Linked DNA regions of Caenorhabditis elegans. The protein of the gene in region 1 interacts with the protein of each later gene in a pairwise test. Each region holds a gene or a part of one and is shown in the gene's direction. Other genes may lie near its edges. The genes, in order: tsp-14, sma-6 and daf-4.

What was found.
Region 2: the proteins of tsp-14 (region 1) and sma-6 interact in a two-hybrid assay, tested with the Caenorhabditis elegans proteins (one study listed by BioGRID).
Region 3: the proteins of tsp-14 (region 1) and daf-4 interact in a two-hybrid assay, tested with the Caenorhabditis elegans proteins (one study listed by BioGRID).

Annotation. Positions count from the first base shown.
Region 1 is NC_003284.9:4,866,827-4,878,749, reverse strand, and holds tsp-14 (Tetraspanin-14), read left to right. Parts: upstream 1-4,256; 5' UTR 4,257-4,342; coding exon 4,343-4,377; intron 4,378-5,727; exon of another isoform or gene 5,728-5,862; intron 5,863-7,690; coding exon 7,691-7,853; intron 7,854-9,167; coding exon 9,168-9,353; intron 9,354-9,402; coding exon 9,403-9,489; intron 9,490-9,538; coding exon 9,539-9,631; intron 9,632-9,737; coding exon 9,738-9,884; intron 9,885-10,521; coding exon 10,522-10,710; intron 10,711-10,757; coding exon 10,758-10,937; intron 10,938-11,362; coding exon 11,363-11,638; downstream 11,639-11,923. UniProt on the Caenorhabditis elegans protein: Functions redundantly with tsp-12 to regulate cell surface levels of the BMP type II receptor daf-4 (but not BMP type I receptor sma-6), probably by regulating endosomal sorting and recycling of receptors, preventing their targeting to degradative lysosomes.
Region 2 is NC_003280.10:6,322,697-6,331,895, forward strand, and holds sma-6 (Serine/threonine-protein kinase receptor sma-6), read left to right. Parts: upstream 1-1,787; 5' UTR 1,788-1,792; coding exon 1,793-1,932; intron 1,933-1,979; coding exon 1,980-2,130; intron 2,131-2,348; coding exon 2,349-2,438; intron 2,439-2,483; coding exon 2,484-2,595; intron 2,596-2,639; coding exon 2,640-2,795; intron 2,796-2,837; coding exon 2,838-2,931; intron 2,932-3,020; coding exon 3,021-3,101; intron 3,102-3,146; coding exon 3,147-3,283; intron 3,284-3,330; coding exon 3,331-3,634; intron 3,635-3,710; coding exon 3,711-3,882; intron 3,883-3,925; coding exon 3,926-4,324; intron 4,325-4,369; coding exon 4,370-4,444; 3' UTR 4,445-4,659; downstream 4,660-9,199. Other genes in the region: C32D5.4 (uncharacterized protein), read right to left, coding at 1-383; set-4 (Histone-lysine N-methyltransferase Suv4-20), read right to left, coding at 7,504-7,704, 7,751-8,083, 8,135-8,303, 8,351-8,496, 8,543-8,560.
Region 3 is NC_003281.10:5,621,296-5,633,259, forward strand, and holds daf-4 (Cell surface receptor daf-4), read left to right. Parts: upstream 1-3,846; coding exon 3,847-3,987; intron 3,988-4,067; coding exon 4,068-4,199; intron 4,200-4,567; coding exon 4,568-4,690; intron 4,691-5,311; coding exon 5,312-5,419; intron 5,420-5,468; coding exon 5,469-5,577; intron 5,578-5,648; exon of another isoform or gene 5,649-6,911; intron 6,912-7,200; coding exon 7,201-7,263; intron 7,264-7,373; coding exon 7,374-7,519; intron 7,520-7,566; coding exon 7,567-7,674; intron 7,675-8,165; coding exon 8,166-8,551; coding exon of another isoform or gene 8,552-8,576; exon of another isoform or gene 8,577-8,803; intron 8,804-9,162; coding exon 9,163-9,863; intron 9,864-10,330; coding exon 10,331-10,548; 3' UTR 10,549-11,027; downstream 11,028-11,964. UniProt on the Caenorhabditis elegans protein: Involved in a TGF-beta pathway. May be a receptor for TGF-beta-like ligand daf-7. Controls the decision of whether or not larvae enter a developmentally arrested state, known as dauer, in response to environmental conditions.

The DNA of each region.
Region 1 (11,923 bases):
TTGTCATCCTTAATTCCGAAAGTCTACAAAAACAAAGATTGTAAATACAATTTTAATAATTTAATAATGCTTAAATGAAATGTAGCGTTCTACCAGTGTGAATTTTATTTAATTATTTTTACAATAGTTTTTTGATTGTTTTTGAACATTATAGTGCTTGAAATATGCACCATTTGTCAAATTTGCCAAAAATCCCAAAATTTCCTATATTAGGATATTTGCAATATTTTGGTTCAAAAAATTCAAACATTTAAAATAGAATTACTACTGATGCTACTAAACCTTTTTATATAATTAATTTGTAAAGCTTGTTCATACGTTTACATTACATGGACACAAAACTTTAGTAACTGCAGCAATTCAGCCACATTTTCTTGTCGTATACCCAATTTCTCATTTCATTTTGTTTCCGTAACGCTTCCGATTCCTCAATCTGCCAGTGTCAAAGCTGTCCACTTTTATTTGCTTTTTCTTTATGTGCAAGTGTCTCTGCTCTCCAGTATTTTACTTTTTACCAAGAAGCTTAAGAAAGATGATATTAATTTCAGTTGCCATCGGGAAAAAGAAAAGCGGCAAGAAAAAGAAGAAGCGCGGATTCGCCCCCAAGGAATCGTACTTCTCAAATACATTCTTTCACTACTTTTCCCAACAACCACCAAAAGAGGTTGTATGCACCAACACCAAAAATGCCAAAAAAATCATTTGTTCTTGTCATTTCAGTTACAGAAATGTGACTAAAGTTCTTTTTAAAATGTTTGAACATCAAAAATTATTTCTCAATTTGAACTTTTCTTCTGGAACTTTTATTTTTTCAAATTTTAGTTTAGTTATTTTAGGAGTATTTTCATATTTGTTGAATTGTTAGAACTTATGGGTTTCTGAAGTTATAGAATTCTTTAGAAAACTTTTCAACATTTCTGGAACTAAATAAAATGCATATTTTCCCTAGGGTTGTTGATCTCTTCAGAATTCTTCTGAACTTTTTTCTTGAAGTTTTACAACTTTTCAAAAATTTCCGAACGTTTTACAAATTTTCCACCGGTCGCCAAAACATTCCAGAAGTTCCCATTAGCTTTTCTACGTTTTCGTAGCTTTTCAGAAAATTCTTCTTTTTGTCTTAATTTCCTAACCCTGAACCAATATCTCCTGAAATCACAAAAAATTTGTTTTCAGAAACACTGACTACAAACAACAATTGTAATTTTATTGCTCATTATTTGGCTCAGAAATTGACTTTTTCGAAACCTAAGAGCCTAACTCTGGTGATTTTCCAATCTGCTCGAAAAGTATCTCGTTTGATCTGATTCATTGGCTCATTTGTGCTCTTTCATCGATAAAGTCAAGTGCACCCTTTTCCATCCTCTGATCTCGTGTTCGACGTTCAAAATCGCACTTTGTTTGAGTTCGCCGACGCAATCGCCGTGTTGTGTTTTTTCTCCTTCATTTCACTTCTTCTTTTCATTTTCCGTTACCTCCTTTTTCTCGTTTTGGGTCATCTCATTTCATTAGCAAACAGCACGCTTGTTGTTACGACTAATGTATATGTACTTTACTGTAATCCTATTCTTTTACAAACGTTGTTTTTTTTGTGTTTCTCAATCTCTTCCTCGAGAAATAAAAAACCACACGGAAAATACCAAAGAAACGGCAAGGAGCGTGATTTCCTATTCCACTTATCTTCTCGCTTCCTCAATATGAGAAAAGGAGTGTGAGGAGAACAAGGGATTCATTTCCGAACAACCAGCCCATAATTTTGACTGGAGGTCGCTTGACAGTCAAGAGACAAAAACGTTGACTCAGCGGGGGTTTCTTCGTTTGGTTTTTAGAGAATCCGCTTAGACAGATGTCATTTCTATCATTCTGCAGTGTTTTCTGGTATCGTATTCTTAGCTATGGATCACATTGAAGTTGCATCTAGTTTCTCGTCAATAAGGTAAGAAACGCGATTTTGAATCTCAAAAAATATCTTGTAGTTGGCTATGTATTCGTAAATTTTTCAAAACGGATGTGCGGCACATTTTGTTTAGCCCACTAAAAAAATCTAATTTTTTATCGTTGTGTAGAAGTTTTATATTAGATTTTTTACAGCAATGTGGAAATTGGTGTGTTATTTTTGAATATAATTTGCTTTTTCATTAAAAAGTTTCAAGAAGGTTCTCAAAAACTTCACCAAAGTCGCAATGTGCCGACTGTCATCGGCTGAAAGTATGGTTGAATTTTTTTAAAATTAAGACTGTGACTTGTATCTAGTTGTCTCTCTCAGTTTTGCATTCAGTTGCTCCAATTGTTGGAAATTAAGTTTTGAAAATGTATACTTTCATCTACTTTTTCAACGTTATTAAATTTAGTTTCTTCTCCAACAAATTACAAGTCACCAACATTTAAAAAATTGCCCTACTTTTAGAGAGAATATAGTACACATATGAAACTTAAAATTATCTACTCGATACTTTTTGAACAACAAATTTACTGTTTCAAATAATGATTCATGAACCACAAGGGAAAATATATTAGTTTCAATATACTGAAATTTTTGATAAATTATATGCTCTCTGGGTAGGATGTTGACTGACCTACCCCATCTCGAGGGAACACGCCCGCTCAGTTGTTAACATTTGATACATGGCTCCAACTCGAGAAATTAGTTGCCTTCGGACCCCGAAGCAGTTTGAATATTTCACGACATCTAAATGGGCTCCTCAACAATTCGTATTCCTTCCCCCTTTTTGCAACCATTACTCTTTTCGCCCTCTTTCTTTCTTCTCGTTTCCTCACTCCCATATGACAAACGGGCCGCCAATGCCTTTTTTGGTACCTGCTTGTTCCTATTCTCGACCACCGACCAATTATTCAACGCGTGTTCGAGGTTACTCGATTCCGTGCCAAGCAAGCATTTCTTCATCATTTTACTTCAACTTGTTTCAAAAACGTTTTTGAAGTTAAATGGAACAAGCGAAGTGATACAAGGAAACGAAAAAGAAGACGACAGTCACTTACCCACTTTTTTATCACTCCAAGACAACGACCAAGCTAATATGTTGCGATTTTCTGGACTGGTTCTCCAACCTGTTACATCATTCTCTTTTTTCTTGCTTCCATCCCCCAATTTCATCTCATTTTCGAGAATCTGAAGTTGCCACCAACTGAAAACGCGCCTGCGCAGGCATGTGTGTGTGTGTTTTTTTTTCGATATTCTCCTTCCATAAACTTTCTTCAAGTCCACTTGATGAATTTATAAGATTAGATTTTCCGCAAAGAAGGAGAAATGAAAGCGAGTGGAAAAGAAATAAAAATAGAAAGTTCTCTTAATCAAGTTTTGGGTATTTTCACTGTATTTTTGTATTATGGCGAACTATTTAGGTGTGCTGAAAATGTGCCAAATTTTGTTGGGTACATTTTTCAAACGCAAAGTAGCGTCAGTAGTGATTTGCGCCCGTTATATAGGGTTTAATCGTGCAGCAAATATCTAAATTTCTCAAAAAATCTAGACTTTTGAAATTTTGGCAACTTGCCAAAACTTTATCTTAAAATTTTGTGAAATTTATAAAACATTCGAAAGTGTTTAAGAATGATATTTGTACACAGTAAATTAATCATGTATATTTATATCAACTGCACACTAAAATTACTTCTTTCTTTAAGGGGTTTAGTACCACGATTGTACGCCAAACGAACAAAACTGCTTATTTAACTGAGAAAAAACCAACTTTGTGATTGAAAATTAATTTGAAATATCAAAATAATGTTTACTTTAGTTGAAAAATAAAAAAAAAACCTTAAAAAATGCCTGAAGTTTTCCGTTTGCCTAAATTAGATTTCGCCACATTTTCAAAATTAAACGGCTTTATTTAGACCCTATTTTAGATATAGTATTTTCAGTTGGAGTCACTATTTTTCTATATTTTATTTTAATTTATGATCAAAAAGCAGATTTTAACACTTTTATACCTGTAAATATATCAAAAGTACAACAAGCGGAATGTCCAGTTCCACATCGGAAACAGGTGAGAAGCCCGAGTACGTGAAACATGCTAGCCCTCACTTGTCTGCCCATCTCATCCATTCTTTTGCGAACAGAATATAATAGCGAATAAATTTTATTGGGCCTGGCGGCGGTTGACTGAGGTTGGCTAGCCACTAGCCACCCTCATCCACTGCCTGACCTCTATTTGAGAAGAGTTGATGTCCAGTCACCGCTCTCATAGTTGACGTGTTCTCGTTATTTCAAGTGTTCTTTCAATTTCCCCACCAAGCCCATATTCCTTTTTTAAACGACTTCCTGAAGCTAGGCAGCCGTTACTATCAATTTTGTCTGAAACCATTCTGAAATAATCTACATGAGATGCCCCATCGCGCACCGCGACGGTTTATGAAGACGTAAGTGTTGTTTTGTAGAGGGAAAAGAGACACACAATTGTTACTGAGTGACCCACTTCTATCCGCTATCACATCCTCTTTTTTGATCTATGACGACGACGTGTCAAAATTGTTTGTTTGTGACCATCTGTTTTCGTCACTGAAGAAGTTTTTTGCAAGTTCCGGGGAATAAATATAACACGTGTGGTGTTCGTGGACCAAGATGTTTTTAATTAGACCTTTCAATTGTGGCTTTGAATTTTTATTGTTGGAAAAGTAGTCGAACCCCACAGAAAATTGTAATTGTTTGACTTTTGAAAAATTCCGAAATATTTTGGGCAGAATTCAGGATTTTAAAGTTTTTGCAAATTATGACATAAAATTATCTAGAGTTGAAGTACCATTTCTATAGTTCTAAAATAACCAAATATCATAAACGTTTCAAAAATGTTTCAATTTTTTTTCGAGTCAAAAAGTGGTAAAAACTCAGTTTACGCAATTTTTTAATGTCGTCGCTCAAAAAATACCGTTTCTCCTCATTTTAATTTTTAATTAGGTTTGTAATAAACTTATTACAACATTTGAGGGTTTCAAACATGCAACAGTGCTTCAAATTTCGGAAAAAACTGTAACATTCAGAGATTCATTAATGAAATCTACTTAATTTTTATAATAGTTTAAAATTTACTCTACATATAAATCAAAGTTGAAATATTTTAGAAAGGTATCTTTCTAAACTAAGAAAATTTTAAAACTTTTCCAATTTTGTCACGAAACTTTTTAAAGAATGTACACATGTGATCTTTTACTACTTTTTTTTTGAAATTACCTGTTTTTTCCAATTAACAATAAGATCCCAACTGAAATAGTAATCAAACTTATTTTTGAACAAAAAATATCCGAAAAAAGCGTCATACTAGTTTGACCAATCTTTCCCACAAAAAAGTACCTTTGACGTTCAAATTTTATGGATCCCCCATAAATCGTCAATTATCATTAATCATAAATTATATCCAATGATTGTTACCTTGTTTCAATAGGCACAAGATAAAAAGAAAAACCGATTTATTATTTTTTTCATGCACCCATTGAAATACCGTACCACTCTGAAAACCAAACTTTCCAATTGTCTAAATATTTTTGTTACACTATTTCCAAAAAAAAAAGTGTTTTGATCATTGTCTCGTCCGTTTCTCCTTCTTTTCGATTTTATTGAATCCTTCTCGATCGGCGAAACATGAAGATAGGAGGCTAACCCAGTGACCATAAAAATTGGAAAAAGCGCCGCCAGACCATTTCAAGCCGTCGTGTTTGCCTCTTGATTTCAAGGCTAAGTCTCAAAGTTATTGAAGTACATTTTTAAGCGGAAGGCTTTGTTTCACACACACATACATAGCCTACGTCCTTTCCTCTTCGACACCCCACAAACGATACCAGCAGCATAAGGCGAAAAGGACGACGACGTCCCTCTTTCCTATCGTCTTATTCAATCTTCGTGTGCTTCCTCCCATTACTCTGTCCGTTGTCTTGTCATCTTTCTTTCTACGTCTGGTATCGTGTTGTACAATTTTAGATTTTCAGTTGAAAGAGCTGCTACTGTGAAAATTGAAGGTGGAGTACTAAAATTGCCAAATATCATTATAAAACTTAAAAAAAAAAAGGAAATATTTTTATTTTGGAAGTCGTCGATCAAACACCTTTTTTTCCAAGTTTATGTTTTAATTCTTTTTGAAGTATTAATATTCTAACATTTCATGCGGCAGTGCTTCAGATTTCAATTCAATATGCACCACTTTTTACTCAAAAAAAACTTGCCTTTAATTTGAAAAAAGATATTTAAACATTTTATCATTATACCATACCTTTATGTTACTAAAATTGTTTTTGTCTTAAATTTTTTCCTTGCTTTGCCATATATTCAGAAGAAGACTAGGCCCACACTTTCACACCAACTTTCGGTAATTATATCGGCAACCCTCAATGACTTATTTTTCTTTTTTCCTTCTTTTCTCTATATTTTTGTATACAGTGCTGGCCGAAAAGGTATCCCCTTTCAGTAGATCGGTAGTTTAGCAATATTTTCAACTCAGAAACCAGAAATATTATGCAAAAATGCTCAACAGATAAAATTTTCCTCATAATTATGTCTCTTAGTTTTTTATGCTTAAAATGTTCACAAGAGTTGAGGTCAGAATAAAGCAACCAATATCTCGTGAGTCTATTTTTGATGTTGATTAATATATCGACTGTAACTGAAACACCAGATGTTAAATGGAAAATTCTTTTTTTTTTTTAATTTATAAGTTTTCTATTTTTTGCAACTGTAAACTTTTTCGAAATTTTCATATGTGTTTTCATCACGGTTTTGGAAAAAATATTAATAACTGCAAGCAATGAAACATTATATGAATTCTATTTTGATTCTACAACTTTCCATTCAACATATTCTTTTAGAGTGGCATTCGATTAATTGACCATTCTCAAAAATGGACTCATGACCTGTGGGTCGCCTTGCTTTTTGCCACGACCCTTGTAAACAAGTTGAACATGTAAAAACAAAAAAAAAACAAGTGATTTGCAATATTTTGTCAGTTGAACGTTTCCTCATAGCATTGTTTGTTGTTCTAAGTTATACTCGTTGAAAAATTTGCAAAACAACCGAAAATCTAGGTGGTGATACCTTTTTGGCACAGTACTTGACGATTTTTATCTGAAAAGAAGTATTTTCTGAAAAAAACTTCTACCCTTGAGAAGATAACTTGAACTAATTACAAGATTGTCGACTGCTGGAATTTTTTGAAGTTAATTTTACACACTGAGGGTGCTTGAGAGTGGCGTCTATCCATCAATCCTCAATTTTTGCCTGGTTCTCTTTCACTTTCCTTGATTAGACTTTCGTGCAAAAGACCAGACCTTCATCACAACTTACATGAGGAAGGGAGGGAGTAACCCCCGTTCCTTTTGTTCAACAACTTTCACTTTCTTGTTCTATTATTGAGACATGTAATTGGGGGCTCATCTTCCATTTCCCGCATCTGCTCATCCTAATTGACAGATGTCGTTATCCTGTTGGTCACGCAGGTATCTTATTCTCTGTCTTATTTTCCATTTCCCATTTTCCTTGCCTAGACTTGTTTTGCATTTTGATTGTGATTTCCACCATTTCGCGGTTCACTGATTTCGCAACAAAATTTTTGAATAGCTAAATAGCCAGCTTTGAAAGTCTTCTATCTCTTTGCCGTCACTCATAACACCCATTCACATTCATCAAAATCACACATTTCTTATCATTTGTTTATTATCGCCCCAATAATTAATAATCACATTCTTTCAGCGCACCGGGCGCTTGTGACTGGGAACAGTGTCTGCTGATGGGCTCCGGCGAGCCGACGCGAGCTCGCGCGGTGGTCTCATCATCACACAAGCAACGCAAACCACGACAGGAAATATCTGCATGCCTCAAATGGCTCGTCTTCCTACTCAACTCAATTGTCTTCGTAAGTCAAAGTGGTCAAAGTTGCAAATTCCCTAAATTGAGAAATTTCGAAAAAGAAGATATAGTATTGAGTATAATGGAGTTTCACTTCAATTTCTTCCATAGGATTTGAATAGGTCTATTAGATGGGTGAGGGTCTTTGTTTAACAGACATCAAACACCTTAAGAAGAATTTTTGTATGCACCTGTTTCGTGCAACCATCTGCCTCTAGGTTTAAACATCCAAACAAAGCCGCCACAGATTGATTGGTTTTGCAAAAAGGAATGTAGAGACTCATTGTATTTTGCCCTTGTCCTTTCGTATCTAGCCAATCGGATTTTTGTTTCTGGACTAATGCTGGCCATTAGCAATGGGTCATTTACTCGAATTGTTCAAACAGGACTGTAGGCCACCATGAGAAAAGCGCCGAGTCACGGTACAGTGGATTTGAGAAAAGTTGTATGAAAAAAGAATGGTTGAATTTGTAATGAGAAAAGAATTTAAAAAATGCTCGAAATTTGCAAAAAACTGCACCGTAGTAAGTAGTGCATACCATCTTTGTCTACAGTTTTTTAGTTTTTTTTTCAAAATCAGCCGAGATAGAATTTTTAAATGTGGAATGGTGGGGTGCAATAGAAAATCCTTTTTTTTTGAATATTCACGTTTTGATTTTTTGCTCTCACGGTTCATTTTTTAAATAATTTTGTTTTAAGTAGGTATGAAGTCTAAGTAATGTTAAAGTTGAATTTTTTTTAGCAAACTTCAACAAAAATGTCATCAAAAAGAGTTTTAAATTTACGGGCCTTTAACACTTATTGGCAATTGTCAACGATCAGTTATTTCATACTGAAATATCCTATTTCTAGTGAGCCATTAATTTTAGCAACTGAGCTTCCAAGTTCTTAAGAACAAGTAAACCATTTTCATGAATAAGAGGGAATTGTTGAATAAGTCATAAATTGTAAGCCAATTACCCCATTTTCTTCTATAGCCCATCGCGTTCGCCTTCAGAAGCACTCAAGTTCATAAGTGCGTTAGGCTTCACCTTCCCCCCCCCCCCTCTCATCCAAATTGCCTTTTCGGTGTTTGTGCATTTCCTGCCGAATGTTAATTGAGGATGACCTTTCTTTGCATCAGCTCCTAATTTGCATAAGCCATGTCTGCGTCTATGCGGCACGTATGGATCTATAAAGAATTGAGAACGTTTGAGTCTTTCCAAATGAGAGTTGGCGGCAAAAGTAGAGAAAGGAAAAACAAGATCTATAAATGAAATTCAATTAATCTAATCTGCTCAAATACAAATATCAAATTAAAAACCAGAAAACATTTTTGCAGCTTGTCGGAGTTGGAATCCTAGCACTCGGAGTATACCTATTTATCAAAGATTTTCGAGAGGTTAAGCTGGTGGATATCATTCTAAACCCAGCCATTCTTATTAGTATATTCGGTTTTTCAATATGCGTTGTATCATTTTTCGGTTTCATGGGTGCCTTGCGCGACAATATTTTCTTGCTCAAATGTGTAAGCCTTGAACTCCCAAAAAGTGTCAAATTGTAGAAAATTGTTTCAGTTTGCCGCTTGTGTCTTCTTATCTTACATTCTAGTCGTGGCAGTGACACTAGTCTTTTTCACATTGTTCTACACGGACACCACAGAGGTAGTTTACTTGTAGATCTTTAATAGAGATTGAGTTTCTTATATTTTAGGGTCTTTCTGCAAACTGGTTACTTCTTTATGCCGTCAAAAACTACCACACCAATCGAAACCTGGCTGAAATCATGGACGCACTTCAAGAAAATGTAAGAAGATAATTTAATAGAAAGTACGGTCGTATTTTGTGACACAATAGACACTATAGGCACAATGTATAAATCGCTAACAGATTTCGAAAGTAAATATCTTTAGCTGGAATGTTGTGGAGTTTCATCTATTGCTCAAGGATATCGAGACTGGAACATGAGCTACCAGTTCAACTGTACCAATTCAAATCCTCAACCAGAAAAGTGTGGAGTTCCATTTTCATGCTGTAGGAAGTCTGTTATCTCTGAAGCGGTATGTTTTTATGTTGTTAGATTTTTGAAAAATATTAATATTCAATATGCAAAATTAGGCGCATTTTCTTTGCAAAAAAAGGCACTTCTACAAAGTTCCAAAATAACACGGGTAATACTAGGCGATGAACCAATAAAAAATTTCCGCTTTTCCAATTCCGATTCTCCAATAAAAAATAAGTTTACCACCCAGACTTTTTATTATACCTACTTCTCGGAATTATCAAAGAATATATATAGAAACTCTAAAACATGATCAGTCATGTTTTCTATTCCGATCCAAAATGTTTCTATTTGAGTCAAGGAATTTCGGATAACAAAATAAGTTTTTAATGCAAAAAATGTGTGATTAAATGTGACGCATTTGATTTGATGTTACTTATACATATACCAGCCGTGGACCGCACCTACGGCGCGGCCCCCGACTTTTTTGAGAAAACACATTAGATATACGGTGTCTATCGCGGACCTCGATCGATGTCTGCTGCGCATTTAGCATAAGGTTTCCCAAAATTTCGTTGCTCTGATCAAAGATCAAACTACATAGGGACAGAAGGACACGCGCTTTATATATAGTAAATGATATTGATGTTATATTGATGTTACAAGTTACATATATGTATTATTATTATTTTCAGGCTGGATCATCAAATCCACTGTTACCTGCAATGAGATCTTTAGAGTGCTGGCAAAATGCTCTAACAAAACGACCCGGCGACCTGGAACACGATATTTACACCCGCGGATGCCTTCAGCCGCTTCGGACACTTTTCGAGTCCCACGCAGTGCATGTTGGAGCATTCGTTGCTCTTCTCATTGTTCCAGTGGTATGTCAAAAATTACACAATTTCCACAGTAACAGTTGAAATTTCAGTGTATCTCGGTGTGTCTCACCAACATCCTTGCAAAACAAGTCGACCATCAGAGGTACCTGTTGGAGCGGGAAGCACGGCGAAACGATCGACGGCGAAAGCGAGATCATAACCGTAGAGATCAACTGAACTCGTTGGATCTACTTGAAGAAGGAAAATTCAACAACGCTTCTGCTAATGCCGTAAGATTTTATAACACTTTTTGCAAGTATGATGTACTCCATTAGTGAAATTAGATCATTCTTTGAACTACGTGATTGTTTAAACTTCGTGATTTTTCACGCAAATGTTTTCAAAAAATGCAAACAAAAAACTCGACATTTTGATAATAAAAATAAAAAAATATATTAAATCTGCCCGCTCCTCCTGCAACGGATTGCAAGCTTACAATCTTAATCATCGTTCTTCCAAAGAGTTTTTGTAAACAGGAGGATATTATGCACGTCATCATCACATCATTTCTCACCGCGGGGGCTACTAAACTGCTTGTAGTTTCGCAAGGACCAGCATAGGGCATTTCTCTTAAAGCTTCTCGAAAACCACCAAATGAATTGGAAAATCAGAAAGATGTCTGAGACCATCTTTGTTTTAAAAATATTGTTTTCAGACAAGGCCGAGACCACCGGATATTCCGCCTCCGCTACCACCAATTGAGCATGTGCCGAGGAAAAAGTCACGAAACGCGAGTAGCTCTCCAACTCGAAAGCCCAAATCTGCTGGGGTTGAAAACGCGGCAGCTCGTCGAAAAAGGACTGCGACAACGACTCGAACACCTCCTGCCGCGGCAGGACCCGCGCCAACGCCACAGGCAACCACGACAAATCGAACGCATCAATGGGTACTGCAGCAAACCGATTTGGTTCCTCAAAAAAGCAAATCATAAATGTTATAGTAAATGATATTCAAATTTAACAACTGTTTCAGTTTCATACATACCAAATCTTTCTGTCTCGAACGCGGTGATATAACTTATTTTAGCCTCCCATTTCTTTCTGCCCCCAACTCAACCTCCCCCCCACCCCATCTCTCTTTCCAAAAATTCATCTCCTATCTACCTAGACCGATTTTTAAATTTGCCATACACAATCTGGTGCTCCATAGAAATTTGTACCACTTTCTTCTTTCCGCTCAACAGAGTTGGCCATGAGCAACAACTTACTTTCAAACA
Region 2 (9,199 bases), on another chromosome or scaffold:
GTCAAGAGACGTTTCATTTCATTCGGATTTTCTCGCATTTCGGCTTCTTCCGGCGGTGTAGTCATCACTTCGAAATCGTCTTCTTTGCATTTTAACATACTGCGTACGATGTTAATTTTTGATGAAAACGAAATAATCAAAAACTGATTTATTTTTTTCCAATCGTCAATATTTTTTCGTTTTGAAGTTCTTAGTTGGAATGTCACGGAATGAAATAGTGTGGCAGTAAAAATAATATTAGTTTCAAAACAATTCCCTTGCGTATTATTTATTGTCAGGAAAAAATATACATCATGAATCTTTTCCCATTCTTGTTGCCTTGGAGATTTCATTATTTTGTCGTCTTTTTTGGACTTCAATTTTATATTCTTGTTCCAGTACATTACATGTTTATATTCATAATGTGAGAACTTTTAAGCTTCATTGTGTTAAGCTGTAGTTTCAGAACTTTTTATACTTTCGCTTTTTGAAGCTTTCGGCAACCTTTGCCGGGACTGAACTTTCCAAAAACTCATAGAATCCTATAAAGTGTTTTTTTATTCTAAAACACTGGCACTGGTAATTAACTTAAGTATTCAAAACATTAGTTTCATTTTTTCTAAAATTTCTAGAAGCCCAGTATTGTGAATAAACTAAAGTGCCCTCAAAACGTATCATACTATTACAAAATTGATATTTCCGATAAGTGCTCAGAACTCTTTAAAAAATAATATTTGTCGAGTCCCCAGTAAACTATTAATATTTTATAAGTTGGGAACAACAAAGAAGGAAATGTAGAATCAGATTTTCATTGTCAAATAAATATCATTTTTGAATGACCAAAACTCAAAGCTTGTTTCAGATTTTTCAATATTTTCAGTTTTGGCAAATTTCCAAATTTTTAAATACTTCGGAATTCTTGCAAATTTTTGAGCTCTTCTTTGATCAAAAGTAGGATTATTGGTCGACTTTCAAAATTATGATAGGCGAAGCAATATTGTAACTTGTTATTTTGTTACTTTCCCTATTATGATTATTTTCCCCTGTGTTTGCCAAATTTTCCAAAAAAGTAAATTTTTAAGAAATTTCAAACGGTAAACCCCTACAACATTTGAATACAAAAAAATAAAACTCGTAGATTTTTTTTTGCCGACTTCTAGTTCTTCACTAATTTGTGACTATACATAAAAAATTTCAGTTTTTTTTGGTGTTACTATGGTATTGGGACATTTTTGCACTATAAGCATGGTTTCATGATATTTTCTTACTGACGATTTTAATTGTAGTACTATAAAAATTTGTCGTGCCCTTCCGAATCTTGTATTCATCCGGTGCCCAAAAATCGCTAAACTTCAAACGATAGAAACAATGAATAGATATTGAAAAAAAGAAACACCTGGTGCAACCCTCTTTTACATAAATCTAATCCATCTATTTTTCTCAGAAAAATGGCGCCACGCCATTTAATGACCCCGTCATTTTATGGGGTGGCGCGACAGAAAGGCGCCGCACTTCTACCTATTCTCCGGTCATACATATATCCATTTTGGCGCAACTTTTCCGTTCAGATCATTAGTATCATTAGGCGGACAAGTTGTCAAAAAGAACATTAAGTGAATGATGAGATAGTTAAGAGAGATAGTGTACTGATAGAAGAGGCCGTAGATTGAAATATTGTACGAAACGGAGAGGAAACTCGGCAAACAGTCTTTTCATCTCTACCTCTGTCTTTACTCGTTCTATTTTCATGTTTTTCGCAACTGACTTCATTAACAATATATTTTAATCAATTTATTTGCAAATTTCAGATTTAATGAACATCACCTTTATATTTATTCTCATTTTCGGATTTTTCAATACTCAAAAATGCTCAAAAGACTATGATCACTTTGACGATGAAGACTTAGCGTTGAGCATTCCAAAAAATGCAATAGGAGTTCCAAAGGAGTTCAGGTACATGAGTTTTTATATTTTATCAAAAATTCAGTTTTTCTTATCAGGCAACAAGTTTTAAAAGAGATGAAGCTTCGGAACAGACCCAATGATATTTTGAAAAATCGATGTTATTGCAATTATGATCAGTCGATATGTGGAAATAATATGACATGTGTGAAACAAGATGGAGCTGCTTGTTATCATGCCGTTGAAGAGGTAAAATTAACTTGTAGCTCTTGAAAGTTTCCGTTTTATTTTTTGGAATATTTTTACACCATGGAGGTTAGCAACATATGATCTAGGCGTTACCAGTTTTTTAATGAATGGATTTTTCTCATTTCTTGAAACTGACAAATTATAATAATTTTTTTTTTTTGAAAAATCGATGTTATTGCAATTATGATTATTTTCAAAATTATAAAAATAAATTTTAGGTTTATAACAAAGCTGAAAAACGAATGGAAACTCTTCATAAATGGGGATGTGCAACACTGGAAAGAGGAAGTGGAGCTTCACATTTGACGGTGTTTCATCGAGTTTTTTGAAATATTTCACCAGGTGTTTTTCAGTGTAATTCTTGGAGAGCAGCTCACCATTCTCCTAAAAGTATTGGTTGTTGCTATGAAGGTAACTATTGCAATAAGAATTTGATTCCGCCGGCATATGTTCATCATCACAAGGGTGAGTTTTTTTTTAATTTAAATTTTTTAACAGGGACTATTCAGAGAAAGCACTTCAAGAGAAAACTGACAATCCAGAAGACTATGATTCTCCACTGGAAAACATGACACGTGGAGGAAAAATGTTCATAATGGTATTTGCAACAGTCATGTCGGTTTTTGCAGTCATTGGATGTATTTATTTATGTATTACAAGAGCAGGTGAGACAGTTTTTAAATTACTAAATTGATATTTTGTTTCAGAAGAAAAATCTAAAGCCAGAGCCAGAGCCAAGACGGTGTCTCTGAAAACAGAATCAACATACATGGAGAGCAAATCAATGCTCGAAGACTCAGGGTTCGTTTTTATTTCCTAGAGTATTTGCGATATAGAGATATCATACCCATTATTTTGAAAGTGATGTTTTTAACAAATACAATTTTCAGAAGTGGTTCTGGGCAGGCTGCGTTGATCCAAAGGACAGTGAGACAAGATTTAACAATTATTAAAACAATTGGACAGGGAAGGTAAAATTAATTCTTATTTTAATCTTTGTTGCCTATATTTTTTAGATATGGAGAAGTTCGCAAAGCTCTGTATCGTGGAAGTTACGTGGCTGTAAAAACATTCTACACAACTGATGAAGATTCATGGAAAAATGAAAGAGATGTATATCAAACTAACATGATCAATCATGAAAATATCCTTCGTAAGCTATTTCAGTAAAATTACTTTGAATTTCAAGAATTGTTTCAGAATTCGTGGCGGCTGATATTTGGAGTGAGGAAGATTCAATGACAAAGATGCTTCTTATCACTGATTATCATGAACTGGGATCTTTATCAGATTATCTTTGCCGTGAAGAAACATTGACAACAGATGAAGCTCTTCGACTTATTCACAGTTGTATATGTGGTATTGAACATCTACATGCAGCTGTACACGGAACTGGAAGCTTTAGAAAACCTGAAATTGCACATCGAGATATTAAATCAAAGAATATTATAGTCAAACGACCAAATGTGTGTTGTATCGCTGATTTGGGTTTGGCACTACGATAGTGAGTTATTTCAAATGATGCATCTGAAAACCAAAGATTTAGTTGTTCTGAAATTTAGAAAGAATAATGTTTTCAGTCAAAACGACAAAATTCTCCCTGAAAAATTCAATGTTCAAGTTGGAACAAAACGATATATGGCTCCAGAACTGATATCAAACAAGTTGAATCCAAAAGATTTTTCTCAGTTCAAGATGGCAGATATCTACTCAATGGCACTTGTTATGTGGGAAGTTGCAATCAGGGTTGAGGTATGATTATTCAATGAGTTTAAAATAAAGGCCATGATTGTAGGTAAACACCTGTGAGGAAGTGTTAACTGTCGATGAGACCTCTCCTGATCACAGTGCATCAAGTGGTATCGGAGAGTCAGTTAGTTCATCTGGTAATATATCGAGAATGCATCTACAAAAAACAAATGTAGAAGGACATTCTACATCTCTGAAAGCAAAACAACATGTCCCACCATTCGATGGAATCGTGCACAATGATCCCAATTTTGACGAGATGAACGATGTAATTTGTGTACGTCGAATACGTCCACCACCGGATCTTGCCTGGAAAAACGTCCCAGCACTTAATGAATTGAGCAAGTTGATGGAAGACAGTTGGCATTCAATTCCACACTTCCGACATTCTGCTCTTAAATTGAAAAAAGAAATGGCTGAGTTGATCAAAAACCCCGACAGACAGGTAATTCAACACGTTAAGGAGCTATATCTAACTCTATGTTTTCAGAATCAATCGCAGCGTAAAGTTGAATTCCAACAGCAAGACAGTGGCCTTGTTGAGTCAGCCACCAATCAATCTTAACCCACTTTCTGATCTTACTTTCGTTGTACCAAAATTTTTGGCTTCTTTAAAATCAATTTTACTTTTTCAGTTTTGTTCATATTTCCACAACGGTCAAAATTTAAAGCGATCTCTCTAATAATTTCCCATCAATTTTTTAATTGTGCAACTCTTATGAACTTGTTCTCATCTCGATTTACTGCAATTTTTGTGAATAAACATTGTTCCAGACCTGTACGTTCGTGTTGTAATTATGCGACATTATTGTCCATCATTGCCTAATATTTCCTTGATAGATTGCCGATAAGACAAATTCTTAACTTGCGCTCCCTGTGGCAGAAGACGGAGCAAACAAAATTATCAGCTCAACCATGTTTAAATGTACGTTTATTATCTCTCTATCTGAATCTATCTGGATTGGTGTGCACTGCATTTGTGAGCAAATATAGGCATACTTGTACGTGGTTTGATAAGATAATACTGCACCGTTAGACAACTCTTTTGGGTGAAACAAAAGGGAGACAACTGCAAGTTGCATCAGTTGGAACAATGAAACATTAATTCGTTAAAACACAAAGCACATCTGATATCATTTTCACAATTTATTTCGTTTATCACATATTTTAGAAGATCATCCTTTTGTAAAGTTAAAAGTGGATTCATGATATTTTAATTTTGACAAATCTCGACTAGAAAATTTTTAAGGATATCAAATATTTCAAGAAATTTCTGCACTGCAAGTTACGGCAAAATGTCCATCTGTCTGGATTTATTTTGTAGGTGAATCACTTGACTGTAGAAATCGAATATGATGCATGCAACTAAGTCTTTATTTCACAAAGCTTTTTAAAGTATTTTTTCAATTGTAAATTTGATAAATTCAATTTTAACTTCGCACACAAACCAGAAAGATCGGCAAATCAGCGAGATTTATCACGGTGTTTGCAAATCGTTGAATAACCATCAGCGTTTTTATATTGAAATTGAAACTTGTTCTGATACAGTAATTTTCAAAGAACCATCCATGTACAAAGAACCATCCATTGAATTTTTAAGAAATTGTTTCATTATAGTTAATTCCAGTTTAATACGGAATGGAAACAGTTAAGGTTGATTTGTCGAAGCAGGAAATGTATTTTCTTATAGACCTGGCACAATTTTTTTACGGGAGATTTGAAAATTGTGCCAGAAACTTTACAATCTAAGTAGGTCCTTTAATTGTATTCGTTTTTTTTTGTATACTGTCTCTATGATTACATCAAATCCCAGACATCTTGACTCCTTGCGTAGATTTTTGTTGTATAATTCTAAGTCTTAAATTATCAAGGCTCTTGTATTCGATGAGAGTGCCTATCAAGAGAGGAATCAAGTTTTCAAAAAAAGAAGCAAACGTAAATTGGAACTGGGAAAGCTTAAAAAAATATTCTGACTTAAGAGTTTCCCATAAGCAAATTGAAATAATCAATCAAAGAAACATTGTGATTTCTAACAAATGTCTTACAGTATATGATATTTACCCGGAACTCATGATAGCAAAAACTACCGTCAACAAAAATCAGAAGTTGTTTCAAAAACAGTTAACCGATTTCTCAAGTCTTGAACTAGAAAATGTGCATAATATCACGTACTTTGTCATGATTTTATGGCACTCTTCCAGTTCAAGAACAAGCGGTTTTCGAGTAGAATATGAATACGAAGTAATTGTAGATAATAATACAAAGAGCACTGTTATCACCTACACCACAATTCTCTTTTATAGTGACACAAAAGTAGGTGGGCTTATGGAATGGTAGATAGTTGAGACACAGAAAAGATGGTTGCCTATCACCAAATGGGCGGTGTCATCGATAACAATGCAACGTCGGGGGGCGACGGAGCAGTCCACATATAGATCGATACTTTTAATTGGTGTACGAAGGTGCAGCAACGGATTGACAAAGGCTCGTTAAAAATAATATGATTAGTAACGATGAGAACTTTGTGAGGGTGAGGGTCAAAATTGAAGGCTAGATGATTTTTGAGATATTGGGCTCAGTGGGGGATTGAGCCTAATATCTAGTATCTAGATAAGTTCTTTAGCTGGATAATCTAAATGATTAAATTAAAATAATATTGAAATATTCATTTTAAAGTATTTTTTGTGTGGCATTCAATACTAATTTCCTGACAAACAGTAAATGATTAAAAGAAGACTACTGTGAACGTTTGTTTCTGCAAATCACTTCTCCAGAACTGAAACAAAACATTAAATACTGGTGTAAAAATCAGAAATACCGTAATCCTTCTATTAGTATTGGCCCCTGCTGCTTTGCTTTAAAGGGTATTATCTCACTTAATATTAAATATATCAATAAATATTACAATACAAACGATAGAAAAAGAACTAACAAATATTTTGTTAGTTGACAAGTTTAAAAAGAAACCTACGACAACTGAGATATAAGCTATCAAAAGTTTACCACTTCAGATCAAGTTAAACTTGTATAAAGATTGGAAGATGTTCACTTCGTTTTTTTAAACAACTTTTACTGGTGATTTCTATCCCCTTTTTACTTTTTTTCAAATCCCGCCATACTTAAATATCGCAATTGATGACCAATATTATAAAAATTGATACTTGCTGATATCAAAATTAGTCAGCTTGTGTCGAGATCCAATGAGACAATCGGTAACCGTACCTACATTTATTTGAGCTTTAAAATGTGTATTTTAATTAAAAAGTGTATCATCTTCTTATAAATAATTTATTGATTAGACATACTGTAATTTCAAAAATGAATCTGGAATTTTAAAGAATGAAAATAAGAAAACAAAATAGAGCACAGATAGAGATCGTTGTACACACACAAGAACCAAAAAGGAAAGGGGGAAGAAAGTTTCTTTGGGATCGCTATGGATTTCAGGTATCTAGTGTACTGAAAACTGCGGTACTGGTACTGGGGCTGTGCTATACTGAAAATAGAAATTTGATATCAGAATTTAAAGAAAAGAAAAGCCAATGCTTCTCTTCGTAAAAGATATCGTATTTACACTGGCCATGGAACATGAATTAATTTGTAAAAATGATTGAAAATTATGATTTAGGATCGTGAGCGGAGTTCATATTTGGTCTTCTTCTCCGAAATTATTGGTTCAGCATTCTCGTTTCCACGGAGATAACTGAAAGCTCCATTCATGTTCTTCTCGCAAGTGCAACATTCACAGTCTATGTTGTTTGGACCGAAGAATTCACTGCCGTAGAAGCAGGTGATTTCGTCACCGGGAACCATGTCACGAAGAACCTGCAAATTTACACATTTGAAATTAACATGATATCAATAAACATACTCGAATGTGAGCTGTACTTCCATGTGATACGAATTCACAGGTCGGCCGACAGTCATGATTGATATAGGCACCTGGACCTAGCCATAGAGTCGAACAGCGTTTTCTTGTGCTGTACATCACAGAGAAATCGCTTCCTTCTTGAGCCAGTATAGAATCCTCATCTTCGCTGGATAGCAGGCACACGACACCGCTGAGCCGCTCAATTTTATCGCCGCGGCTCCAAACCCCAGTTGAAACAAGTTTTGCACCTTGATGACCTTCTTGCGAATAGCGTTTGCATTCTTGGATGGTGTACCCAGAATCAAGTATGAACATATTGAGAAATCGAACAATCTGGAATAAACAGCAATTTTGTTAAAATTAGATTTCAGGATATGAACTAACGTGATCACGGAATTCAAATAGCTTGTTCGGAGGAAGTTTCGAGAGGAAATGTGAAACACTTCGGAGAGTCAAAAGTCCGTAAATTGCATTGGTCCAATCTCGTTGCTCTCTGAATGTTTTCATAACTGTTCGAGCCGTTCTATACTCGTCCTGATACAAATAGCGTCGCCTGAAATTTTAATAATGAACGAGATATAGAAAGGCCGATTATCTTACTTTTTGCTCATTTTATGGGTAGTAAAGTTGAGAACCGAGTCGACGACAAGCGTAGTAGCAAAATCATCAAAATAACATAGTTCTGTTGGAGTCATTGAGTGATCCGAGCGAGGAATGTCATTGAACGTCACAGAAATGTTGGCAATCTGTAAATCGATCGATAAAAAATTTAAAATAAACAGATTAACTTACTTGCTCGTGTAGTTGCATTCGTTCAGGCGTTGACTCATTTCTCCGAGCCATTTTCTGAAATTCAAATAACAGATTGTGAGAAAAAATTGAAAAATAAACAAAGAAAAACAAAGTTTTGCAGTTATCCGAGAGGATTACACGGGCCTACTGTAGTATTTCGTTGCGAGACTCAAGGAAACTTTATTTTGGTAGTCCCTTTAATTTATTTTGGAAAATGTCAAAGTTCATATCGATATTCGCGGTTGTCATGGGAAAATGAGAAAAACGGGGAAAAAAATGCGTTAACGCGTCTCTTATTCTCTCGTTCTCTCTTTCTCCCTCGTGCATGTGTTTGTTGCAACAACGAAGACCCCGGGCAGATCGCGTTTCGTGCCTTGGTGATTCACTGACGCGATTTCTGTGTGGTTGTGCACAGCGCGATGCTGCGTACTCCCTATGAAAAACGGGACGTCCTTCGTGGTTCACAAAAGAGATGAAGACTGGGAAGACGAATAATTGAGAATTAGAAAGTTAGAGATGCGCAGTCAGATAATCGACCCCAATTATAATATGAGAAGTAAGAAAGAGAGCAGGCAAAAGACGATGTGCATCTAGGTTATTTATTATTGAAAAACAAGAGTAGTATGTACTGATATCAGCTGATAAAGCACTTGCACT
Region 3 (11,964 bases), on another chromosome or scaffold:
AGATAGAGAGAAAAAAAGAAAAAGACAGAAAGAGCGCTGAAATTATTCTCTCAACAAATCGAACGCGTGGTTGTTGTGGAGAGGAAGAAGAGACACGGGCGGCCGAATAGAGAAAGTTAGGCGTACGAAAGAGGCCTGAAACGCAGACATGTAGACAAATGCAAGTCCATCGTCTCTTCATTTCGTGTACTCTCTATCGTCTCTTCCCAGTTGACGACCCGAACACACGGCTCACAATGCCCGGGCACATCGACTAAATGATTGCGCGGGAAAATGAGGCACCCAGGTTCCACCTCACCGTCTTTTTCTCTTCCTCTCTCTTTTTGCTCTTCTAATTTCCGTTGGGTGAATACTGCTTCCCGGGTGTACCTTTTTTTGAGCTCGCCAGTTGCAGAAAAGTTGTCGACCTACTTTCTTCTTTCAAGTAGGCAATCGGCAATAATGGTATTTGCGATAGAGCTATTTGGGCAATTTTAGCATCTAATGGCGGTTGCCGAAACATTGCCGAGAATAACTAAATACTAGAAGTGTATCTCCCTGACAACCTCATTCTTTTTCTCCTCAAGCTGAAAGCTCCAATTTGTCATAATTTGCAACTTTGAAACTTTTTCTGATTGTCAAAAATCTGCAAACTCACCTTCTTCCTGCTTTACACTTTTTCATCTTTCGTTCAATTTTTCTATCTTTTTTTCTAACAGTTTTAGTAATGTCAAACATTTAGCTTCGTTATCTTTTTTCTCTTGCACGCCTGAAAAGGGTTGCCAACTTACAAGATATAGCAAACGTTTTGACAAATATTTTGTTAATTGAATTTTTAAGTAAATTTTACCATTCTTTCTTTTTTTGGAGAGAATAGAGAAATGATACATTCTAGCTTCTATGCGGTTCCCTTTAACATTCCTTGATAACTCTCAATGTTCTTGGCAATTATGGAAATTCCAGAAAATTGTATGTTTAGTATCCATGTTCACTTTCCGCTAATTTCTGATCTACTGTTCAAGTTCTGACCACTTAAAACATCTCCCCCTGAGTGTCCTGCAAAAAAAGTTATATGTGACTTTTTCAACATTTTTTCAACCCTCCCTGCAAATCGTTTGACCTATTTGGAGTGCGTCGTGGGCGGGCTGGTAATGACCATCATTTTCCCAAATAAATTATTTTCGGAAGTGTTCTTCACGGTTTGTGTTTTGTAGTCAAAGTTCTAGTGAAGTTGTTTGCAACTTCGGAGTACTTTGCTGTCGAGGTATTTCCGTAAGAGTTAGGAAAAATAATGTCAATTGACAAATTGTAGGAAAGTTTGTGCTGAACATATTTGAGCAATGATTGTGCTATTTTTTTTTGCCAATTCTGAGTTATATCACTTCATAGTTAATATTTTTTGATATTTATAATCGCAAAATTCATATAAAATCTTAAACTTTTATTCCCACTGACCATGAATAATATTAATTCACTGAATAACTGATGATAAGTACCCAATCTTTTTTGTTTTGTCTCTCTTTCTCTCACTACTATCTCTCTTTTCTCTTTTTCAAATGAGAAGAACTAAAGCAAACAAGTTGTGTCCTTTTTTTCACTAATGTTTAACCTCGAACCGACAGCGAAACCACACTTTTTTGCTGCAATTTAACGTTTTCTCACACGATTGGACCTTTTCATGGAGGTCTTTTATATTGATTTTTTTGAAGATTTAAAACTGTTTTTAAAATTTTTATACTTTCGACCCATCATCAACATCAAGTTTATTTTCTTCTTATAGGTAGCTAACCCCATAATTTTTGCGACATTTCCTGTTTTGAAAATGAAAAAAAAAGTTGCGAAAAATAAGTTAAAATGCTACAAGATTTATGTTACAATTTTAAATGTTCTCATGGAAGAAAATAATAAAAAATGATTATTTGGAAAAATAAATACAGGTTGTTCACGAGGAGTACTTGAACTAATGTTTTGAATTTGATCTAGTTATACGGAAAAATTTGAAAAAGTAAACATAAGTTTAGTTCCCGCCGAATTAGGTAGTATGTATTTTTTAATAATTGAAATTCGAATAATTTATTTTTTTTCTTGACAATTATCTCTTTTCATATAATTTTCAAAACCGTCGTGTACTCATCGTGAGCAATATTGCTTGTTCTTCGACCTCTTACTTTGAACTCGATGGTTCCTTCAGGTATTCCGAGGCCTTCAGGTTCCTACTATTTTGCTCTTTTCCTTCTTCTTCTTCTTCATCTAACATAAGAGAGCTTTGGTCTTACACGCCTGCTGCTACCCTCTCCTCCTTCTTCTGCAACAACAACAAACCCACCGTGGTCACATGTGAATTTCGCCGAGTTTCACGCTCTTTTTCCCCCTTTTCTTTTTCGGCTTTTGCTGCAAAAATAGAACGAGTGAATAATACCCAGAAAAAAGCGAGTGCTTTGTTGTTGTCAAGGTAAACACAAAAAATATATGAAAAATGTTCAAAAAATATTCGTTTTGACATTCTCTTCTCCCACTTAAGTCGCTTGATTCAATGTGACGGGGAGGCTTGAGGCAGGAGGAAAAGTATAAATTCACCTGAAATAACGAATGGTGACATGTTTTTGAATAAGAAGAAGGAAAGGATGACGTTGAGTGGTACTTTCTATTTTCGTACGTTTTACAGAAAACTTATTGAAACTTAGCGCCCGACATCTAGCCCAAACTTGGACGAACACCTAAGCCTAAGCCCAAGCCTAAATCTCATTTTAGACTTTTAGCCGAGCCCACGCCTACTCCAATTCCGTTCTGCTGAAAAAAACATACGTTTTCCTGGTACCACGCACGAAATATAATCCTGAGAAACTTTTTTTGGTTACATTACATGTGTATAGCACATTATTTAATTTTTCCTCGAATTGCTAGTGTATTTTGGGAACCGAAATATGGAAAGTCCAGTTAGTCCGAACTTCGCCCATTTCCTATAAGGTGCAGGTGTTCATCGATACTATATTTTTCTCAAAGTTCCCGTTCTATAGACCCCGGAAGATCCCGCCTTCATTCTGTTTGGGCCCCGCCCAACTTTAGCCCCCTCCGATGAGAAAAAGAGCACAAGAGGACAGCGAGCCCCTCTTGTAAGGTTCTTGTAGGTCAGATTGTCACGTCATTTGATTTTTTGTTGTTGTTTATTAGAGAACATTGAATGAAAACCTTTTTTTATTTGAAACAAAAAGTAGAGAGTAGAGTTTGTAAAAGTGATAAGAGTGTACCAATCTTTGCTGTTTCCTCGTTCTTTTTCTCTTTTCTCTCTTCATTTCTGATGTGTGCTTCTCACTTCATTTTTTTTGCAAACTTTTTGTGCTTCCTTAACACTTTTCACATCTTTCGTTTGATGGAGATTGTGCAATTTATTCCTATTTTTACGGAATTTTTGAAAAATTTGGTTGACATTTTTTAGTTGAAAGTTTTGAACTCTCATGGTGCATCGAAGTAAAATTCAAACATTTTATTTTAAAAAAATGAAAAGTTTTTTGTTAAAAAAATTGGAAATTTCGAATGTCGAAATTCGAAATTTTTTTATCCGAAATTTCGATTGCTTTTATTTGAAATTAAGAAATTTAATTTTCATCAAAACTAAATTTTTAAAATTTTAGCTGGAAATTTTAGCAAAGCTGGCAATTTTATTTAATTTTATCGAAATTTTCGAATTTTCGAATTTTTGAAATTTTATTTATTTTTTCTCAAGTTGAATTTGTTGACCTATTTTTTTTATTTAAATAAGTTTGCATCTATTTTTCTCAATAAAACATTTGATCTTAATTATTTATTTATTTTACTCCTCAACTTTAAAAAAAACGTTACAATAATTCAACTACCTTCAATTTTCAGATGAATCAGAAAGGGACAGTACGTCTCAAGGCACTTGTGCTCATTTGCCTTCCACTCTTTTTAATTGCCACACCGGTTCCTGTTGCAGTCACGGAAGACGATCGTCAGGACCGAATCGAATCGGAAGCCGCCGAGAAAGAGGTGAGCATTTTTTGAGAAAATGTGTTTTTGTCGTAAACTTCTTTATTTTATTCTATCTCCTTGGTTTAACCATCTTTCAGTGGGCTAACACCCTAGTCAGCAAAGTAGCACAGTCAAATGGAACTGGCACTATTAAGGTCTCGGCACCAGCGAAGCCCACGTTAAGGAGAATGGACAATGAGGAGGATGAAGTGATTTCGATTGAATGTGTAGTAAGTTTTTGGATCAATTTGATGGAATTTAGGCTCATTAGATAGTGTTGACGTTTTGGGGATCAGAAATCAGTGACTCTCCCGTTTGTTTAAAAATTACTGGATCAAATACACTTTAATTCCAGTGAGCCCTGTTCCCCTTGTAGAGGTCGCAGAGCCAATCCACCCACATTCCACTGATCCTTGTTTCAATTAACTATAGTTACTTTAAAGTACCAAGATATTCTAAAAGGGATAAGTTCAAACCCGCAAGCTACAATAACTACAACTCCTTTTGTTTTTCAAGTGTTATCACTATTCCATAATTATAGGCTCTCTTCCCCAAAATTAAAGCAGTAGTAAAAACGTTAAACTTTAAAATTTTGCAGTACTACGACGAGATGGAATGCGAAAAGAGTGGCGATTGTGAAATCACAAAGAAGACGTGTTACAGTGAAGCTCATCTGAAAGCCGTCGGATGCTTGGCCGTATTTGGGCTGCCCACGCAAGAGGTTAGTGTGGAAGAGGTTTTTGGCGGCCACCCCCAGACCGAACTGTGTCACATGACGGGGGCCCTTTATATATATTGTTTCATTTGTTATTCATGAGTGACATCTTCTTCCTCTTCATCCGCGGAAGTATTTGTATCTTTTGCATTTTTTTTTCCATTCTGGCTTATGACTTTGTCAGCTGGAACAAATTGGGGTGACATGACTCGTGATTTTTGATAGTTTTGTAGGATGGAATTTGAATATCAAAATTAAAATCAGAATTGCATTAGTTTTATCGAAAACAAATACATATGAGCAAGGTTTTGGCCTTTTTGAAGACGACTTTGAAAATTTACTGAGCGACATAGGATTTAAACGTGGAACTTGATTCAAATTGAAAAAAATACTGCGGAAAAAGTTAATGATCAAGGCTTTATTATTCCTTTGCTACAAAGCTCTTCAAACCAAACTTAAAAGTTGTTGAGTTTATCAATCCAATTTTGATCGAATCCATTAAAAATGTGCAAACCAACTAATCCGGATTTAGCTGCCCATGTTTCAAAAGATGATTAATTGAGTAAAGGGGATAATAATAGATATATGCATCCATATTATAAACATCAAAAATCTTAAAATTTCCAGATAAACTCTACAGAACCATACCTGAAAGTTGATAAACCGCAATACAAAAGTCTGGGATGTATGCCGTATCAGCACGCGGACTCGATGAACTGCGAGAACGAAAGCTCCGTAAGTTATATTTCAGCATTCGGAGCACCTCATAAAACTGGAATTTCAGTGTCGCCAAGGACGATCATTTCGCGGCGGAATTGGAATGTGCTGCTGTTCGACCAACAATTGCAACATGCCGGATCTCATCGAGATGGTCAACCCGTCATTGAAGAAGGGTCAGTGAGCACATTATATTAAGAGAGCACTATATCCCATGTTTAACCCCATTCTTAGTATACTAGAGCAACACGCAATGATTCTGTTTTTGTGAATATACATATATATCACCTCCTTCTTTTTACCTTTTTTACCTTCTTTCTGTCCCACTTTCTGTTTAAATAACCTTCTTTCGGGTGAGCGTTGGGGCTAGAGGCTAGGGAGAAATTGTTGGCATTGAAATGAGAGGTTTTCTGTGAAACATTTAGCTTTAAGTTAGCAGAATTTTCACGAAAGTTGAACAACCACGCGTGTCTGTGCCTAGTTATTTTTTCGAAATACGGTTCATCATACGGAGGTTGCCTCCCATCAACTAAAATACGACAGAGTTGGAGCACATTCGAGAAAATTCCCAGGAAGTTAGACAAAAATGTGGCAAACTAACGACGAGTGTAGGGAGATAGTGGACGGAAGTTGGCAAACGTTGCGAGCAAATGAGAAGCACCAAATTGCAATATGTCCTAATGTAGAAGCGTTCAGGCGAAAGTTCGAGAGAGTTTGGCGATGTTTGGTTTGAGCTCGGCCACAGTAATAGGGAAAGTGACGCGAAGTGTGATCAATCTGAGTCAAGCTTTCGACAAGTGAAAGACGAGAGTAGGAGTTGAGGAGCGGGCCAGATGGAAGACGGAAGCTGCGACGAATCTTCAACTAATTTATGAGCGTTGAAAAAAAAAGTTGGAGAGAGGTTATGGGGTTATTCAAGTAGTGTCGGAAAATTAAAAAGTGTAGAAAAATTACGTCACAACCTTATTCAAGTAGATAAAAACATGTATTTAAATACATTTGTGACGTCACAAATGTATTTAAATGCATTTTGCTACATTACTTGAATAACCCCATTAGAAAATTTTGAATGGTCTCTACGGATCTCAGCAAACGTTCGTCCAAACTGCGACAACCTTATGACGCGTTTATGATAAAATTTGAAGTTGAGACAATGAGAGAGAAGGATAACCGAGCAGAGGTTGAGAAGAAAGCTCGAGAGAGCTTGGCAAACATTGAAAGATAGTTCAGCTAGCCCTGAGACAATATTTTGCGCCAAAGCTGAACAAATTTCCGGTGGAAGTCAATCGGAAATTAAGAAAAATATGGAGAACTTCCCATTACTTTAGCTATACTCCTCCCAACCTTTCCCCGTGTACCCTCAACCTGAAAGAATCCACCTCTGTAAAAGCCTGCAGTTGTCATAAACCTTGTTCCCAATTTCTCTTCCCTTTCCTAATTTTCTCCGAAAAAAATGCACGTGGACCTCTCCAGATTGTCTCCTAATTTTCTCTTACCCCTCACACATACACACACACACCATTCATGCAATTTTATGTTTGTTCTTGTGGCTTTGCAAGTAAACCACTTTTTTATTTCAACTTTCTTTTGTTCTTTCTGTTTCTAGAGGCGATTCGCAACGACACTCTGCTGTTATTTGGCTCCTCCCCTCCAGTGAGCGGAGTGTCGTTGCAAAGTGAAACAAACGCTTTTTCGTAATAATTTGCACCCGTGGAAGATGCCTGTACACACACACACACATACAAATAAAAACATGTACACATTTTGAAATCACCTATTTAGAGCCGATAAAATTTCAGATTCGGATAATTCTGCACTTCTGTGGGCTTCAACTCCATCCAACATGGATTTGGAATCTCTAGGTACTGTCTGCATCTACGTCTCGGGGCTAGCTGGGTACTAACTAGGTGCTAAACACCCTCTACCACACATCCCCCACTCTTGTCAGTTTCTCAATGGAGCGAATTTGCAGACAAGTTCCCATTCTACTGGATCATCATAATCGCACTGTCAGTGATCCTTTGTATTGCACTCTTGATCTTGGCATACGTTGGTTGGAAATTTCAGCAGAATAAGAAGGAGGAGATAAAAAAGCAGCAGAAAATTAAATTTGACATGGCGAGTTTTGTCTTTTTTGAAATCGAATCAATTTTCGAAATTTTCAGGAAAAAACTGACGCACTGGAAGCTGGAAATGTGCCTCTCGTGGAGCCGGAAGAGGAAATGATTGAAATGGTGGAGACACCAAAGGAGCTGCCGATCACTGATTTTCAGGTATGTAGGTACCGCAAGAGTCGTGCTTGATATTTTATATTGAAACATGCTCTCTAAATCTAGAATACAACATTTGAATTTTGAAAAAAAAACCATATTGGTGAAACTTTTCAGCTTTACATGAATTTTTTAAAAATTATCAAAAACAATTGTTAACATAACTTAAAAACAACGAACAATTCTGAAAACATTTGAATTTATGGTTTTTTAACAGTGTCGGGGAACGTTTTCATTTGGCATTGGAGCGCATTTGCACTTTGATTTCAAAATTCACATATTTCGCGTCTTCATAATAGTTCGTCTTTTTGATATTTTGCTCGGAAGTTCGACCTCACGGTGTAAACTTTTGATGTCCACTACTTTGTGAACTCTGAGCTTTTCCTTACTTTTTCTTTATCTTTGAGAAAAAATGTTGAAAACAACAGAAGGCTCTTTTCATGAGCTGATTGACGTCACACTTACACTCAATGACATTTGTTCGTTTATTGCAGTTAATCTCAAAGGGACGTTTTGGAAAAGTTTTCAAGGCGCAATACACCCCAGACAGTGGTGAGAAACGATTGGTTGCGGTGAAGAAATTGAACGAATTCCAAAAAGCGAGCTTTTTGGCGGAGAAAAGAATCTTTGATGAGCTTAACGAGTACCCGAAGTGGTATAAAAGTATCGTCGAATTTGTGTGCGCCGAGAAAATTGGTGATGAGTATTGGATTGTGACCGAATTTCATGAGCGACTTAGTCTCTATGAGTTACTCAAGAATAATGTAATTAGTATTACATCTGCCAATCGAATTATTATGTCAATGATCGATGGGCTTCAATTCTTGCATGACGACAGGCCGTACTTCTTTGGACACCCAAAGAAGCCAATTATTCACAGGTTAGTGGAAAATGAAAATAATTAGAAAATTTTTAATGGATCTGACTTGTGATCGCCCTCCAACTAGTTTTAATGCTCAGAACTTTACTCTAGGTTGGTCCTAGAAAAAATCGGAAGAAGTTGCTAAGTTGCGCTTGAGCAGCCGACATTTTCAGGATCAATTAATAGTAGCGTGGACCTACAAGTTGTCGGCTGCAATTTCCAGTAAATATTTTTTGAAATACACACGATAGAGTCCAAAATGATAGGGTAAAATATTGAAAAAAAAAAACCAATTTTTAGGCGCATGACAATTTTCAGTTGAAGTTTCGAAAAGTTAGGGTTTAGAAAAAAAATAAAAATTCAAACAATTTTGTACATTGGAACACCTAAAGTATCTAGAGTTAATTAGAACATAATCAGAATATAAATTTCGCGGGAAAATTGTGTACAAAGTGTTATTATGATATTCGGTTTACTATCGGAGAGATTCTAACCAATGCTCCCAGTAACACTACGTTACCTTTTAAGAGCAGGTAGCGAGTTTCAACGACGCACGACGCTGGTTAGTGTATGCTCCAAACTGTTTCTAATGTCTGTACTTATTCAATTCAATAACCAATTTTTTGCAGAGATATCAAGTCGAAGAACATTCTTGTGAAAAGCGACATGACCACATGCATCGCGGACTTTGGCCTCGCCCGAATCTACAGCTATGACATTGAGCAAAGCGATTTGCTGGGTCAAGTGGGAACGAAACGCTACATGTCACCAGAGATGCTCGAAGGAGCAACCGAATTCACGCCAACTGCTTTCAAAGCGATGGACGTTTATTCGATGGGACTCGTCATGTGGGAAGTCATATCCCGTACCAAGTTGCACCAAACCGACGAGCCACCAAACTACCAAATGCCGTTTCAAGTCATCGGATTTGATCCCACAATTGGTCTCATGAGAAATTATGTGGTGAGCAAGAAGGAACGACCACAATGGAGAGATGAGATTATTAAACATGAATATATGAGTCTGCTAAAAAAGGTTACGGAAGAGATGTGGGATCCCGAAGCGTGTGCACGGATTACAGCTGGATGTGCGTTCGCGAGGGTATGGAATCATATTATGAGCTCACCGGACAGTTCGGAGGGGTATCACAGTGGAAGTAGTATGAAGAATCGGGGTGTTGATGATGTTGAACAAAGTGAGAAGCCGGAGGGTATCGAAGAAATGCAACATTATCATGCGTCGTCACCCAGCAAGAGACAACATCCTAGTCCGAATCCGTTTTTTGATTCGTGTCCACCACCTCCGCCGATTCCTGTGATCCTTGAAAATGGTGAGTGTACAGTGAATCGAATAAATAGTTGACATGACCCGTGAGATGTCGGCTGCTTGTGAAAAGCAGTTTCTAAATTTTAGGTGACTTCCCAGGAGATGTCGGATGCTCAATGCAGCATAGCTTTAAACCTTGAGCAGCCGACATCTCACTGACTAGTTATACGTTTGTGTAGGTAAATGTAGGATGCTGGTAAATGACCGACCGACATCTTATGGGATACGAATGGCTATGCTAAAAAACATCTCACGGCTAATTAATTGGTTTTGTGGTAACAGTTTTCTGAAATGATTGGCTAGTCCCTAGCAGCCGATGTTTTGTGAGTTCACTGATGTTTTAAGAGTGCCCGCTGCGTGAACCAACGAGCAACCGACGTTTTGCGGGTTCCAAAACCTTATTTGCCTGGCGTAACTAGTAAAGTGTCGCCTGCTATTTTTCCTTTTTTATAAACAAAAATTATTTTTCAGGAGGAATCCTCCAACCAGACAACGCGGAGCCAGAGCCCGAAGAGCTGCCGGATCTCCCGATAGTCGAGAAAATCTACGATATTGCGACGAACATGCTATTCTCAAGAGAAGAGCTTGACCTTATGAATGCTCAACGGCAAGTTGAATACGAAGCTGGGGCAGACACTCGAGCGTCGACACCAACGCCTTCAGGGACGTTTGGAACGTTTACAACATAACTATTCATTCAAATCTAACATTATTTTATATTATGATTATACTCCCATCCTCTCCTATTCTAGTCTATATGTAGCGGTGGACACCTCACGGGCCCCTCGCCGCTGGCCCACCACCTTGTCTCTACTTACGCGTCCCCTAATGATCTCAATTTGAGCACAACCGGTGTATATATCAACTTACAGACGTTCAATATAAGAACCGCTAAAAGTTCTATGTCTTCGTCGTCTAAAACTCTTCCAAAATCTCTGATCTCTTGCATTGTCTCTCACTCAACCAAGTTGCCCACTCTCATCCAACTAACTCAAAAACTTACCTCAGCCCATGGGGCATCCCCATATTCTCTCATTCATTCACTATATTCATTGATCTGTGATAACTTTGTATTGGCAGTTCACATCACACAAGAATCTTTTTTTGTATATCAGTTGATTATTTATTCTTCATTTTTTACACTTAAAATTAAATAATGTTTCTTGCTATTCACGAAAAATTGACATTTTTCTTTTTTCAGATTCATCCGGAAATACCCATTTTTAGACAGCTGATATGCCTCATCACCTGCCACTAGTTAGAATGTTTCCTTCACTTCTTATTTTGTTATTGACTATCAACTTTCCGTCTATTTCAACATAAAACATTTCCTTGTACGGCAGTAGCCAACCGACGCCTATTTTTGTTCCTAGCCCTTCTTTATGTTAGCTTTTTAATCCAAAAAGCTTTCCACTCACACAATCTTTACTGGGCCCGCAGAATGTCGGCTGCTTCCAGTTCTTGACAGCAGCAGCCGACACCCGACGGATCACATGCTAAAAGTCAAAAGTTCACGGTTTTTGAAATTTCTCTTCTCCTCCTTCTTCAACAGCAAAAAATAACATGAGGGAACCGATCTATTCTTAGTGAGTAAACGCAATTTGGCTCCTTCTCTCTATTCGTCTTGTACATCAATCATATTTGGCGTGTCTTGTCCCTCTCCTTCCACTTTTCAGAGAGACACTTCTAAGAAGAATTCGATGTTTTGTGTGTGTCTGTGTGTCAAATTGAGAAGCGTGCGAACGAATTCGATTGAGGCTCCAGTCAGCACAAGCAAAAAAATAAAGCTCAGTCTTGTCTCGAAATTCGAACTCACCGTGCTTTCTCTCTCTCTTTTTGTTTCGTGGATTGTCGCTTTAGACCACCAGGAAATGGTGGAGGACATCTCAGTTTTCAAGATGGGCTATCTGAGCTCAACAACAAGAGACAAACCCAATTTCTTTTTTGTTATTGAGTTGTTTGAAAAATAAGTTGTATTTCTTTCAAAATAAAGCAGCCGACGTCTTACGGCAATTCTGAACGAATCCGGCTGCTCGTACAGATCTGTCGCGATCAAAATGGGCAACAACTTCTTGGATGCGCGAACCTTTTATGATGTCGGCTGC